Linked DNA regions of Drosophila melanogaster. Changing the gene in region 2 together with the main gene of any one other region gives a genetic interaction. Each region holds a gene or a part of one and is shown on either strand. Other genes may lie near its edges.

Region 1 (6,616 bases), on a different chromosome or scaffold from region 2:
CGTGTGCATGCAAATCGAAGGCAGCCGGAGATTGAACGCCAATTAGGATGAATGTTTGGGGCACGCCGCTCCAGTCCCCTTCCATCCTTTTCAGCCAGGCCAGACTGCATGACGCCGCGTGCCGCATGCCGCTTGCCGCATGCTACTGGAAACGGGAGGAAGGGGTGGGGGACAGCCTCCTCTTCCTGGGCTTGCCATCATCAGTTGTCAGTTAATTGCTAAAAACTGTTCACACGTTCCAGGTGCGACTTTTGCATACAGTGCAGACTCAAGATGAAGTCCCAGTTGGGTAGGAAAAGCGAAGGGGAACTGACCATTCCAGTCACGTCTTCCAGATGAGAGTGCGTCCCGGAAAAATCAATATCAAAGAAACTCCATCTCCAAGTCGGCTTCCCTTTCGACTTTGCCACTTCCGCCGGCGGATATCATCCCCTAAAAGTGACCAAGATGGATTTGGCCCCTCTGCTCTTTCTCCAAAATCGGGGGCGTCGAAAGTTGTTTCATTTGTGGCCATTTTTTTTTTTTTTTCATTTTGGAGAAATTAAGCATGTACGGGATGTACCGAGACCCAGTTATGCAAATCCAAGAAATCACAGGTCGGCAACAGAGGCTCATAAATATCGACAAATTCTACGAAATTGGTGGAGTCCCAGGGTCTTCAGCAGGTGTGCTATTTAAATGCACGGCAGCAACTGCCAAAATAAGAGAGGCATCGAAAAACAAACCTGCGTTCACAACAATTTGTAGGTTTAAGCTATAGTCATACATGCACTTTTAAAAACTATCTTTAATTCAAGCATGCTTCAATATTTATAGACTTTGAGGTACTTCTCAATGTTCCCAAATCCCTTCTCTTTTTCACTTGCTAATATTATTCAATTAAGGAATCCAAAATCTCAATTGGTATTGATATATTTCTATTTCTATTTTCTATATATTTCTAACGTTTTTCCGAGTGTAATCCCAAGCCCAACCCTCAGTTAAAGCTGGCCTTTAATATGACGAACACGTACCCCTCAAAACCGTTTGGATCGGTGGATCGGTGGATCAGTGTGGATCGCTCGCCTCGATTTATTTGTTTGTTTTGCTTGGATTTTCGTAATTTCCATTCGTCGCACTTTCAGCGAATCAATCAAACGGATCCGATACGATCCGCCCCAGACCCAGAAGGTCTTTGCCACATTCCCCGATCGGCTGATAAACCTGTCAAGCCAAGGGTATAAATCAATCGATGCATAGTTTCTACTTTAAACTTTACAAGTTAGAATCACTAGAAGTTTCATTAAACTTTCGCCCGAAAAAATCAATACTCATTCCAGGGGATTTCTACCAAGAGTGAGAATTGTAATCCTGACGAAAATGCTCGGCGTATCCTGGCATCCTGGCTCATTCTCTTATGCACATCACGTGCCGCAGGACGACGGCAAGTGTGCTCCACCTCCATCTCCGGCTCAAGTTTTGTGTACTTTTTAGCACATATTCCCGACTTGAAGCCTCTGTCGATATCCTGACAGGTACATGGTCATATATGTACGAGGTCTTATATAAGGCAATTACATGGCAAATTCGTGACTCGCACTTTTTTTTTATGAGTTTTGCACTTTCTTCGCGGTCGGGTCATTAAATCTTACTTCGTGTTGGGTTCAAGTGAAACAAACAAGTACGAAGCAAAATATGTTTATATATATTTATTATAGTTATATTTGTCTGATTGCTATCCATGGTAGATGGATCAAATGTTTCGTGTTCTTTTTTGCAGGTTACGTGATTTTTTGACCATATACAATATTTTCATCTCATTTCAGTTCCCCAACTCAAGACTCTTCTGCAATCATTGTTATCACACCCACCATTAAGCCCAGTATAGGCTGGCACATTCACAACATTCTTAACTGGGATAGCATTTTCATTACAGCCAAAGGTCAGTCGGCTGGGGCAAGGCCTCATTTTATTTTATTCGCCGCCGCAGGCCAAAGTATTATAGAAGCAAAGAAACAAAGCAGCAGCTGAGCAGCACGCTCTAGGCACATTTGCCATGTTTAGAATTAAGACCTCAGATACTTGAGAAGCTCCAAAAGCCCAAATAACCGCAGAAAACGGCAACCGGCGGACGGGCAGAACCAATTCCGAAGGCAGCCAAGGCAGCAGTCTCAGGTCTCGAGTCCCCAGTTCGAATCTCCAGTCTCGGGTCCAACTCATGTTACTCACGTTCCAAACGAGCTTTTGTCAACTTGTCTAAATGATTTTTGCACACTGTAAACAAGCCAAGACACCGAGACAGACAGACGGACGGACTCAACGACAGACGGACGCTCCGTTGGACGGACAGTTGGAACGGCGACAACATTCAGTATTGACGTTGACCCTGCACGACTGCGATTCAGAAGTGGAGGCTCCGTTTGCTTGGGGATGTGAGTGTGTGCCAAGGATTCGCAACCTGAAGTCCAAGTCGTGTGTGATGGGCCAGGAAGGTAGAACTGGGGAGTTGGGAGTGGGGGAGGACTGGAGGCCAAACGGGCAGCAGCATTCCCCGTGGGAGTCTTTTGTTATTGTTGTGCTGATCTCTTGGATTTTTCGTTTCGATATTGTCGTGTAATCACGAATTTATTTTATTGAAAATCACTTGACAGGTGGCGCCTTATTTAACTAAGTTGTCAGCCCTTCCTCTTCTAAGTCCTCCGTTTCCGCCATCTGGGGAAATGACTATGAGAATGAGAATGGAAATAATGCAATGGAAATAATCATAAATGTTTTGTGGGAACAGGTCAGGTTGGTGGAATGGGCAGATATGGCAGACATGTTCATTGTTCCTTATACAACGAAGTTTTATGGTTACAATTTATAGTGGACATCAATTGTAATGCAATTGCTGAACGAAGAACTAGATAGAACGAACTTATGAACGTCTTTACTAAAATTGATGACTTAGATATGTCTGAATTATAAAGTATTTTATTTGGCGCAAGCCATTATTCAATATACTTTCTCAATATTCCTGACCTATCCTTCAAATTCCCATTTCAAATCCTAAATTTTCCTTTATGTGCTTCAGTCGATTCAGAAATGGGCCTCCCCATAATGGGAGCAAATGACTCCCCCAGTAGACCGTCTTATCTCGCCCTCAACAACATCACACACCATCCACAACACAGAACACAATATCACCGCTGGCGTGTTGAGAGTTGCTCCACCGAATTCTCCAGAGAATGCCCCGAGCGAGGAAGAGAACTCAGGTGTTCACGACTCTCTAGAGAGAGGGAGAGACCCCGAGACCGAGGCGGAGGCAAAACAAGAACATGATATATACAACAATATGATGTGTGGATGCTGTATGCTGGAGAGGACCACACCACATTAGTGAGTGGGTCTGTATCTGTGTGGCGGCGACTCTCCCATACGAAAACCTGCTCCACCACCATTTGCAGCTTGCAATGCGCCGCTCCAAGTTTCGCAGATGCAGCGCAGATGAGATGACGATGATGACGATGCTCTTGAGTTCGGACCAACAACATCCAGCCATCCAACCATCCAACCACCTCCAACCAGCCAGCCAACCGACCAACCGACCAAACGACCGAGGCGACCGACCATGTTTCCTGATGCGAGGCGAGGCGATAGTTTATCGCCAATTTTCGTGCCGTGCAGAGGTGAACGCGGACCAAAAACGTGCGAAAGGAAAAGCACTGCCCAGATGCGAGAGAGCCCAGCTCCGGCTCCCTATCGTACCCGTAGTATCTCGCCTCCGTGTAACCCGAATCCGTACACCCAACGGCTAGCGACACCCCTAATTCAAGGTTGACGTTGTGACTTGGTCGTCCTTCCTCGACGTTCAGCCACCGTTCACTTGTTTTTTGTTTGCATCAGCTCTTTTTTGGCTGCCGTCGGTTCTTTTTGGTAGGGACAAGGATGATTTTGAGGGGCTGAGCTAAGCTGAGCCGAGCCACCTCCCGAAAACTCCCCCCTAAAACGGCCATGCGCGTTAACGGTAAATAATGGCCGCCATCTTGGCCCAAACGGAATGTGCAAATATGTCTATATAATCCGCAAGTGTTTGTGTCTCTGTGAGAGTGCGTGTGACCACATCAAATCAAAGATAAATAGCTGAAAAGCTATCGCCGAAAATAAATAGTCTCGCATCAGGGTGGGTCAAGTTCCATAGTAGGACGAATGAGAGATCAATCGCAGGGGCGGAAAGAATTCTATCGGCATAACTTTAATCCAATTGATTTGTTTAAAATTTAATTAAAAAAAAAAAAAAAAAAAAAAAAACTATTAAAAGTCACAAGAATTAACAGAACAGAATTTTGTTCCAATTATCTTATTACATTTTTAGAACGATACTTTATTGGCCAGACCATACTGCCATCATATAGATATATTAATGCAAAGCTTTCTTTCCACACCTACGATTCCGTGTCTATGAAAACCGGACTCACCCTAATAAACCTGCGTGTAGTCATAATATATAGATAGAGAGGAACTCCTAGAAATGGAGCATCACGGCAGTGGGTTCGTGGCTTCGCCATGGGCCGCCGTTCTGGGACACCACTCGATGGCCTCCGATGCCGGGTTCGCCGCTGCGGCTGCTGCGGCGCATGTCCAGAACCACTCGATGCACCATCCTATACACTCGCATCACCACCACCACTCGCACTCGCATCCACACCCACATCCGCACTCGCATCCGCACCACCATCCGCACCTGGGAACCGCCGGAGGGATGCCGATGGATCTGCATGTGCCGCAGGGATTCCCCTACTACAGGTAAATTAAACGAAACCAGAACCACTTCACACTGCACCAATATTTCCCTTCCATTCGCACACTCTATTGGTTTCTCTTTCGCTGGAGTTTGCATGCAAATTTTGGGGGCGTTGCCAATGGCGGAAAAGTGTCCACCTGATATCCAATGGGCTGAGATGCGGAGATGCTGAGACAATTGATGGAACTGCCCACTAACAGGGAGAAATTATTCCACTTCCTTTTTGGGGTGGAAGTTAGGCGATTGCTCGCTCATAACTGAGGTTCTAGGTAAAAAAAAATTGTGACTTAAAGGAACTGACAAGGTACACCTCCTTAATCAGTTTTTATTCGTATGTGAAAATATGTCTCACAATCCTGAAATATCCATTTTTGACCCCAGCATGTCTGACACCTTGTCACCTCATACCCACCACGAAGTGTGCCCCCCCCCCAAAAGTAGCTTTCGCCAAAAAAAAAAATTAAATGTCCGAAAATTAAAATTTTTCAGTTATGAAGTGCAGGCAGAGCACTACAGAGGTGCCAACATCGATGAAACTCATAATTAAACTAATTGAATTTACGTGACAATAACACTTTCGACACTCACTCGCCAGGCCACCGAAAAGCGAGCGATGAACGCCTCACGAAGTCGGGCGATTGTCACGAGATAAGTTGGGCAGCTCCCTCCATCTTTCACTTTTCCCACTCCCAGTACATAAGCCTCCTCCGTAATGCATGGTTATTTTCAATATCGAAAAATGAAATCGGCATCAAAGAACATTTCGCCGCAATAGCCATGAAGCAGAAGTGGCAATCCGGGCTCTGTCTTAAGCCGAGACCTCTTTTAGACATTCCCACAACAATATTGCAATGGCGATGTAATTCATGAACTCTGATTGGTGGCCCCGCCGAAAGAGTCGAGTTTGTAGTTAAGATTGAGGATTGAGGCTCGAGGAGTTCCAGATGCGGGCACAGCAGCTTTGACTACCAGTGTCTGGGGTTTTGGGACTTGGGATGGCTAGAGATGGGCCACAGGGCCTTTTGAATTGATAGTCCGGAGCGAAAGATTTAATAAATATGCTACGTTAGAAGGATATGGAGACATTCGAGAAAACCAGAATAGCTTAAATATTAAAAGTATTGTAGTATAGTATTGTATAGCTGTGCCAAGGGTCGTGAGTCTCGTGACTCACTTTCTTGCCTATCGGTAAGCTGCTCACGCACATCTCTAAGGCACACATAGGCCTTCATGTTCCGAACTTAAGCTTCAACTGGGACTGCAACTTTAACTCCGACTCTGAACTCCCGACTCCGCCACTCCAACTTCTCGGCTCACACAATCAGCGTCTATCAGCATTTTTCAATTATATCGGAATAGCGTTATCCGTGGCTGGATCGCGTCAGAACGCATAATTACTATAATCACCTGAGTTATTACCTTGGCGAATATTGACGAAGACGCGAAGAGAGGGCCGCGAAGTAATATTAAAAGCACAACCAGCGCGGCGGGAAAAGGGTTCCCTGCTGAAATCTAAACTGTGATTGTTTCCCCTCGCCAACCTGCGATGGGCTGCCTCTGATGACTCTGCCTCAATTTCATTTTGGTCTTTTTCCCATTATTTTCATTTTATTTTTCACTTTTTTATTTTTGCTTATGCCTCAATTCGTTAAAGTTACATTACACTGGGAAAAATGGATGGCCACGGGGGAGGGGCCACGATAACTAAAAACGAGTGAGACAAAAAGAGTTTTGACCTAACTGGAAAATTGCTGGGACGTTTGTTTTTCATTACAGCCGACAACTTTGTTGCTTTGTATATTGGAAGGGGAATTTCCAGGGGGAATTTCCAGCGCCTTCACGGGCGGCAAAGGG
Region 2 (8,591 bases):
CAAGCAAAAAGAATACGAATTTAGGTGTGCCATGATCAAGAGGGCTTTTACTTGATTATATATGTATGTATTAATAACAATACACCTCACTTATTTCTGGTCGTACATATTCTTATTTTGTCTATTGAACTCATCTTTTTAGAAATTATACCGCTTATCGAAGTCAATGGAAATTTGGCCCCTGATGTTGGGCATCGCAACAAACTCTCGATAAACGACACCGACATCAGCGGAATGCAGCACGCAAGTGGAAAACAAAAACGAAAAGGGAAGACAGCAGGAGGACAGCAGCGACAAGGACAGAATGTAAGAGGAGAAAAGGGGGTTCGCATATATATGTACAAACAAGCAGAAGACCGGGAATCCCGCCAGAGAACCAACACGCGAAAGACTGCAGCAGTCGTATACAAAATCTGCCAAGAAAACACTAAAGCATCAAAACACAGTGTACACTTATAAAAAAAACACGCGATTTCTAAAGACGATTGCCTCGAATAACATATACCTGTGGGTATATGTTACATGCAAATAGCAGAGCGACCAAAACGTATTTTGATTTATGTTCAAAAGGTTTTTCATTCAACCAACACTACATGTTTACGGTACTTCATTTTCTTCCACTTACTCATCGAGTCTTTTTCGGCTTTTCAGTTGCAAGACAACGAACTTTATCTTCAGCCTAATCTCCTAGCGTCAATACAGTGGATATGGCCGACATTTAAAGAACGAATTGGTACACGAACTTTATATTTGCAACTGGCACTGAACATAAATTTCAATTTAAAAATTTCAAACAGACATGGACTATATGTTTATTTCCTTACCGATGCGAAAGTAAGGAACAGATGTTATTTTAATATTTATGAAATCTGCTAAAGGTATCTATACATATGTCAACCTCCTGGAAAGAACATTTCTTTGTCAGTCTATGAAAGAGTCAGTATTACGATGAATCAAGATTGCTTTCCCGATTACCGCCCACTAAGCGGTAGTTTCAAGCGACTTATATTTTTATAAGTTTATATTTCGGAAATCGAGCGCGTTTACCATCATCAAAACAACAACCCTCACAACTTGCCAGGCTCAAATTGATAAAAGGCCAAAAAGGAGCTTGCAAGTGGTTATGCCAAGACATGGCAAATAGCATCGGAAGCACGACCTCTCTGAGTGCACGACCCGCGGCAACAAACGGAGATACACACACTGGCAATTGCAACTTATTATATTACACTTTCGATGTCATCGCGCGATGTTGCCGCTGTCATTGCAACTGCAATTGCTGATGCTGTTGCTGTTGCAGTGCTGCCGTTTCGGAGTCACTTAAACGAGATAAATCAACGTGGGCGATTACACAATATCTCAGGGTGATTGTCGTCCCCTGCCACCCGCTGACCGCCTTGCATGACTTGGCGAAAAGTGCAACAGCAACAGCAACAGCAAGAGCACCAGCAACAGCCCACAATCAGCAAAGCAAAGCAAAAGCAAAGGCATGGGCAAAGACTCGCGCCATTGGAGCAGTGGGTCGCTCTCGGGGTCTCGTGGAAATATGTGGAAAAACGTGGAAAACCTGTAAGACCAAAGTCGACAAAATCAATAGCACACACACACACTCGCTCAGTCCGGCGACACTGCAAAAAGCAAAGACGACGCCAGCAGTTGCAGCAGCCAACAATTGCGTTGCTGAAGTAGGCAGTTACTCTTGCAGTTGTGTTTCAGCTTTATGAGCGACAATTAAAGTTAAATGCCTCCGCTTCGAAGCTGCGGATGTTACTCGCTGGTTATACTCAAATGCATACGTGCACATGTTTTGGTTTTTGTTTTGCTTTTCGAAAATAAATACATTTTAATGACTACGCTCAGTGGAAGTGGGATTGTTTTTTGTGGTTTAGGAACACGTTAAAATGAGCCAGCCAACGAGAGAGTTTAGTTTAAAAAATCAGCATTTTGACAAGATTCAAATTTTAGGCGCACAGCTCTGGAAAGATTCAGTGCAAAGATTCGGACAAAACGTAACGAAATCGAAATAAAAACCGAGCCAAACACAAAGCTACAACAAAATGCAGTGCTTTTTGGCGGCGACAAAAAAGTACACACACACAAAAACCAAAAAGGGAAGAAAAACAGAAACAGAAACAAACAAAATAAATAAATCAAAAGGAGTTCAACGACCAAAAGTTTAAATGATTTCCGACTGCCAACGAAGAGAAAGAAGCAACGCCGAAATCGCTCACCAGTCAACGAGGGAACGCGATCTTGGGGAGGTGATACGAGGACGGTGATAAGGCCAAGCCAATTGACAAAACGCTCCCCACAAAACATTTGAAACATGCTGCTGCGAAACCAGACACAAATGCCACATTGGCGTTTAGAAGATATGTATGGAATCAGAACCATTTCTGAAAACCGAAACATAACTTAAACATAATCGACAATTGTGCAGCAGATCGGCAGAGAGCACCGTCCATATTCAAGATTAATTTCCCCGAGGGGGTGGTTTCGGTTTCGGACTCGTATCTGCATCTATATCTACATCGATGCAGCCAGGAAGCTGTTTTCGTTTGCTCAACCGCCCACGCGCCGCATGGAAAATCAGCAGCTCTGCTACTGCGGCGCATCAGCCGCCATTTGCGGCTGATAAATGAACGCATGTTGTGCGTATCTGCCAGATACAAATGCCTGCAGTTCGTTGCGGCCTTTGCTCTTCCTTTGTTTCCATTCCACTGCTGCCTCTACTGTGCTGCGCATTTTTAATGAGCGGAAATTAGTTGGCATTGCGGCAAGAGGTTTTGTGGCTGCCCATTTGAGTAGATACAAATGTATCTGTAAGCCATAAATTTGCAATCTATGAGGCACGTGCCTCGTAGGCCCCTTACAAGACTGGCACTTTGCTGTTCTGTACAATTATCGGAACGATTACCTGTCAGATAAATTCAGCTCAATCGGCTATTAGCTTTTTCCAGATCTCGCTGAGCATTGCAGATTTGGTTCATACGTTTATCATGATTGGGATGGGCTGCATTCTATTTGTGTCTTACGGATCACACTTTTGGATCACTTTTTGGCAGTACAGCGCGCGTGTATATTTAGAGAATTTTCTTTGGCTCAGACTTGGCACAGCCAGCCGGTTCGCAGATACACTTTTGCATTTCCCTTTATAGTTAGGCAGTGCATCTAAGAAATACATTTGGCAGCTTGCATTGTTAAGACGCTTAATGATGCCATTAAATACGTCGATGAAAAGGGGACGGGGTAAGCTGCTATTGAATGTCTTTATGGCGTATACTAAAGGTGTTTATGCAAAAAGTTTATTTTTTATTATTGTTAAATAAGTCTTATTGTGTTCCTTAAAAATTTTAAGTTTTCAATATATTTCATAAATTAGATACGACCATCGTGCCTGCCTTTGCATTTAAATAAACCTCAAAAAATCTCAAATTACGACTAGAATTTAGAACTGTCGAAGAGCAACGTACTTCCCTATCGCTGCAAAATGCCAAACTTCAGTAGTGTGCCCACGACATGCACTCACCTGTCTGATGACTCCGACGAGTCGTACCGATCTAGACATCTCTTCTTGGACCCCTTTGTGCCACGTTCTCCTCCAGTTGTTCTTGGGGCTGTTGCCACCGTTGTTGTTTTGCCGACTCCCACTCGAGATGTTGTTGCAGTCTTCCTGGCGCCCTGGTAGAGCTGAGATCGCAATGCGTTTATATCCAATTTGGCGGCTTGGGCTCCAAACCCGCCAAAAACTCCGCCCACCCCCCGTTTGGTACCCTGCACGATTCCAATAGTGCTGGGCGAGGTAAAGGGCCGAGCGGGTTTGGCCGGGGGCTTCAGTTCAATATTGGAGGACAGAGACGGGCTTTTGTTGATGGGTGGTGTGGGTGGTGGGCTTTTGGGAGTAAGTATCGGGGAGGCGGTGGTTGTACTGGCTGGTGCTGTTATAGGTGGTGTGGCTTCTGGGCTACTGTTGTTGCCGACGCCGGCGCCAATTGTCAAACTGTTTGTATTGACGCTATTTTTCAGCTGATCAAACAGTGACAAAGCCGCGCTGGAGGTTAAAGTTTTCCGTCCCGTTGCTCCTGCTGTTTTGACAGAGAGTGGGGCCAGAGGGGCTGCTACTTCAGCTGCCGACTCCTTGGTCTTTAATGCCGTATCCTTTGGCTGAGTGACTGACATTTTCCCTCTATGTTTGCTGCACTATTGCTATAACGACGCTTTTAATTGGTGTTAACTGCTGCCAGAACTCTGGATCTGCTTTAGCACACATCTGCTATTCCCAACGGCTTATTGTTAGTCGACGGAAAGCCAATTTGAATTGCATTAATCTGAAAGTTGCTCGTCAGCAATTTTTAGCCGCACTGCCCTTAAATGGTGTTACCATTCCGATTTTCCCCATCAGTTTGCACAAATTGGTATATATATATCGCCATGAACTTGCATTTTACGACTTTCGTGGGTCGGACTATCGAGTTACGAGAAGTAAAAATATTTATACAAATTAAACAAAAATTCATTTAAATCAATTGCACTTGTATGACTTTTGGCATTAAGCTGCACTTCACTTCTGCACTTATGACACACATTTTTCAATTCGATTGATATTTCAACGAGAAACTACTTGATCATCATAAAATTAATCGACGTCGCGGGTTCGGTTTTGATTTGCGTGGGGTGGTTGGATTTGCGATCCGTTACAAAGTGTTACACTGTGCTTTATGGATTTGTGAATGGCCAGTAGTTATTTCACTGTCGGTTGTTTCCGGTGCACACCCGAAATTCATTCTGCAAGATTGGCCACGCGGTGCTCGCAAGTTCAAGAAAGCGACAATGAAACCGAATTCAAAACCGAAACGGGTAAGTCAGGTTAACCTCCTAGTCGCTGTGACTGCGAGCCAGCTTTTGTTTATTGACAACAATGACGGGCGAACAAACACATCGCAATCTAATCAAATGCATTCCAATGTGCCTCAGCAAACTAGCGATTTACTTATCGCGGGGCCAACTTGTCTGCCGCGCGTACCATTCATAATTAATGTAGTGGTCACTGCTCTTAATAGCCGCCAATTGCAGTATAACCAAATTAAACAAAGTCTAAGAAGCGCTGCACTGCAAGCTAAGAATTCCGAAACGCCATCGATTGGCAAGCGAAAAACTGCGATCTCCCCACGAAAAAGCTGCGGGCTGCTCTTGCTCTGCCTGCCGACTGACTGACGAGTGGGGCCAAGTGGAGTGGGAGTGGACCGAGCGCTGCGGCCCCACCCGAAGAGGTAGCCGACGAGAAGCGAGGCGGCGGACCGAGTGCCAGCCGAATGGCTTAGCCAACTAGAACCGGGCACAAATCAAGATACGAAGCACGCGAAGCAAGAACGAAGGCAACGAACTGCCGTTCGTTTTAATAGGGGCTCTCCGACGAGCTGAGGGTGAAGAGGAGAAGAAAGGGCCGCGTGCAGTGTGTTCACTTTTGATTTCTGTGCAGCGGCAGCAGGTTTTCGAGAGCGGGACCAAGAGAGAGGGTCGCGTGGGGAGCTTGTTGCGCTACAATGTGAGTTCTTTCTGTGTGTGTGAGTGTGTGCATTTGAACTTCTGGGGAAGTTCAGAGATTCCGTATTTGAATTTCAGCATTTGGCGGCTGGCTAGATGGGCAGCAACTTCCGATGTGTCCGCGGTGGCAAGTTCGCTCACACACAAGCGACCCAAGCTGCAGCTACCTGTTGATATGTGTGGGAACTAATCAGAATACAAGAGGTTCCTGCGGTTCGATAAAACTCAAAACCGGTTCATCCAAGCGAGCATGGTTATATGGGAACTTGAGCTCGAATTTGAAGCTAAATACAGATGTGTGGAGAATATGCACCCATAACCAATACCTTGGCTATATGTATCTGTTTTGGCCCACACTTAATAAGGCCAAAAAAGTCAAGAACAAAAACAAAAAAAACACGAGTCTTGTATAAAAAAAGATAAAAGTAAACAAAGTTATGGCAAAAACCAAACAATAACAAAACAGCAAGGCAGCCAGACCAGCTCTCTCACAAACACAATCTAAAGTCGCAACTGTTTTTAAAGACCAAAGAAAGGGAGGGAGCGAGGAATCAAACACAACACGTGCTTTTATTACGCTACAAGCAATGGTACGTACGTCTGTGCGATGCAACTGAGGGAGACTGCAAAAACAGGAGGGACAAAGAAGACATGTTTACGCGAGAATTTTGCGGGTGTGTGCGAGTGCGACAAAACTCGTTTGGTGTCCAGTTTTACTCTACCAATAAAATGTTTGTTCCTATTGAACGTTTTACACTGCACATACTTGGGATCACTTTAATTAAGTGAATGAATTCATTTCCGAGGAATGCATCTAATACAATCAAAATGTTTTAGCTCACAAAAGCTCTGCAAAAAATAGCTCACTCAACCATTGTAAATGCAAAAATACACTGCGTAAGAGTGACAAGTTAAATAAGTTTATAAGCTTGCGTTCGCATTTTGCGCTGCATTTTCCGGAAAGCTATTAAACTGCAGCAAACGGAGAGAGAGAGTGAAAATAGGATTGAGACAATTGAGAGAAAAACAACCATAATGCTGCATTCATACTTCGCTGAATATTTTTGTAGATGCATATACATATGTGTAGATAATATTAAATTAAATTATTAAATATAAAAATAAAATATAATCAAACATTTCCTCAATAAAATATCTAAGCTGGCAATTATACTGGAGCCCATCACAATTAAAAAAAAATTATGGGTCTTTTAAATGCTCTCAGTGTAAAGCTCAGATTGCCACAGCATACAGCTTTTGTCAGCGATTACGTCCAAATAAACAGTTATGCCTTTTCAGTATTTTTATAGATAATTCCAAAATTACATAAGTGGGCATGTAAACTAAGTAAGGAATCAAACCAGTTTAAAATTGATAGCGAACTGCATGATGTTCCTTGACCATCAACGGGAAAATTGGTTAACCAACGCAAAGTCAGTTTAATTACGATAAAAAAATAGACTCATAAATAATCACATATCTAAAACTTCCGAACGCATAAACGAAGACAGAAACCTTTATGTTAAATAAATTTTTCACATCAACTCCATGCTAAATATTTTCCGTTCGACTCCAATTTAATGTGTATTAATACGACTTTAAAAAAGGTTTTCCGCACGTTTGAAAAGGCATTTAAAAAGCTTATTTATTTAAAATGTTTAGCTGCATGGATTGATCAAACAAGAAAAAGAAAAATTTGATTACATATTTTTCATTTTTAATTTATTGATCTTAATTTATTTTTCCATATCGTTTAACACTATGTGCTCACCATAAAATGTGGAGAAACTTTTTAAAGCATAACAACATATTTCTTTATATACTTTTTATGTCTCAGGGTGTATTTTTTACCTTTTTATTTTAAATCAAAGACTTTCAAGAAATGTTTCATTTTTTTTAAAGGTTATTGTTAAAAAAGCCAATTTAGATTCTTCTCGGAAATGCGTGGGCAAGGATGTAAAAATCTGTGAATAGTGAAGGGGAAATTGTACTTATGGATTCCTTTACATTATTATTTAATAAAAAAAAAGAAAATTGATATTGGGATCAATTTTTATTAGCGGTAACAGTGACCGAATAATATTTATGATTAATATTATTAAGAATAAGAATATATATTAATATATATTAAGAATAAGAATATATGTTAATATATATTAAGAATAAGAATATATATTAATATATATTAGAAATATGAGGAAGGAAAAATATAATTAACGTATACTAAAGTAAATATGAATATAAATAAGAAATATGAAATATAAGAAATATATAATTAACGTATACTAAATTAAATATAAATATAAATAAGAAATATGAAATAAGTATAGAACTAAGCGAAGAATATGAAGGAGGAAAAGTAACGATGAAATAATAAAAAGGAATCAAAATACAATTCGATCGCCGACGTGTGAAGACGTTTTTATCGTGCTCCGCACAAAATCGGTTGTTTTGAGTGAAGTGAACGCCAAATAAAATAAACTAAATAAAAAATCTGAAAGCGAAAGAGACGCTCTATGCGATGCAAGATCGCTTAAATACATAGTGAATTGTTATCTTAAATAATAAAACTATGAGTCAGAATGACACTCGCGCCCAGCGTCAGCGCGAGCATGACGAACGCCGACTCTCAATTCAGCGCAACAACGCGTACTTCTCCTACGTCTCACCGACAATCCCAAACGCAGACATCGAGCGGTCAATAACCCATAGCCCAGGAAACCTTCTTCTACCAACAAATCAAGAAAGAGCCCGCTCCTGCTCTCCCGCTCTATTGGCTCCGACAGAAGCCCCGCTACCTCCAACAACAACAGCTGGAGAGGGACCGGCAGCCCGCTCTGCCTCGTCATCGGCTGCACCCGCTCACGGTCTGACTAAGTCAGCGAAAGCAAAACCGCTAGCAATAAACGGTACTGCTGCACTGCCAGCAAAACAAAACGAAAACGTAAACAAAAAAGCTGGGTCGACCTGGCAGACTGGAATGGACCGCTACATTACAATAAAGCGAAAGCTCAGCCCGGAAAATTCAGATTTGGGAAACAAGCCGA

What was found. A genetic interaction does not mean that the proteins touch.
Region 1: of jing (region 2) and trh, changing one enhances a phenotype caused by changing the other (phenotypic enhancement), as found in Drosophila melanogaster (one study listed by BioGRID).

Annotation. Positions count from the first base shown.
Region 1 is NT_037436.4:389,634-396,249, reverse strand, and holds the start of trh (trachealess), read left to right. Parts: upstream 1-3,616; 5' UTR 3,617-4,141; exon of another isoform or gene 4,142-4,244; intron 4,245-4,456; 5' UTR 4,457-4,489; coding exon 4,490-4,764; intron 4,765-6,616. UniProt on the Drosophila melanogaster protein: Transcription factor, master regulator of tracheal cell fates in the embryo, necessary for the development of the salivary gland duct, Malpighian tubules and the posterior spiracles.
Region 2 is NT_033778.4:6,498,627-6,507,217, reverse strand, and holds the start of jing (jing), read right to left. Parts: upstream 5,213-8,591; 5' UTR 4,180-5,212; coding exon 3,530-4,179; intron 1-3,529.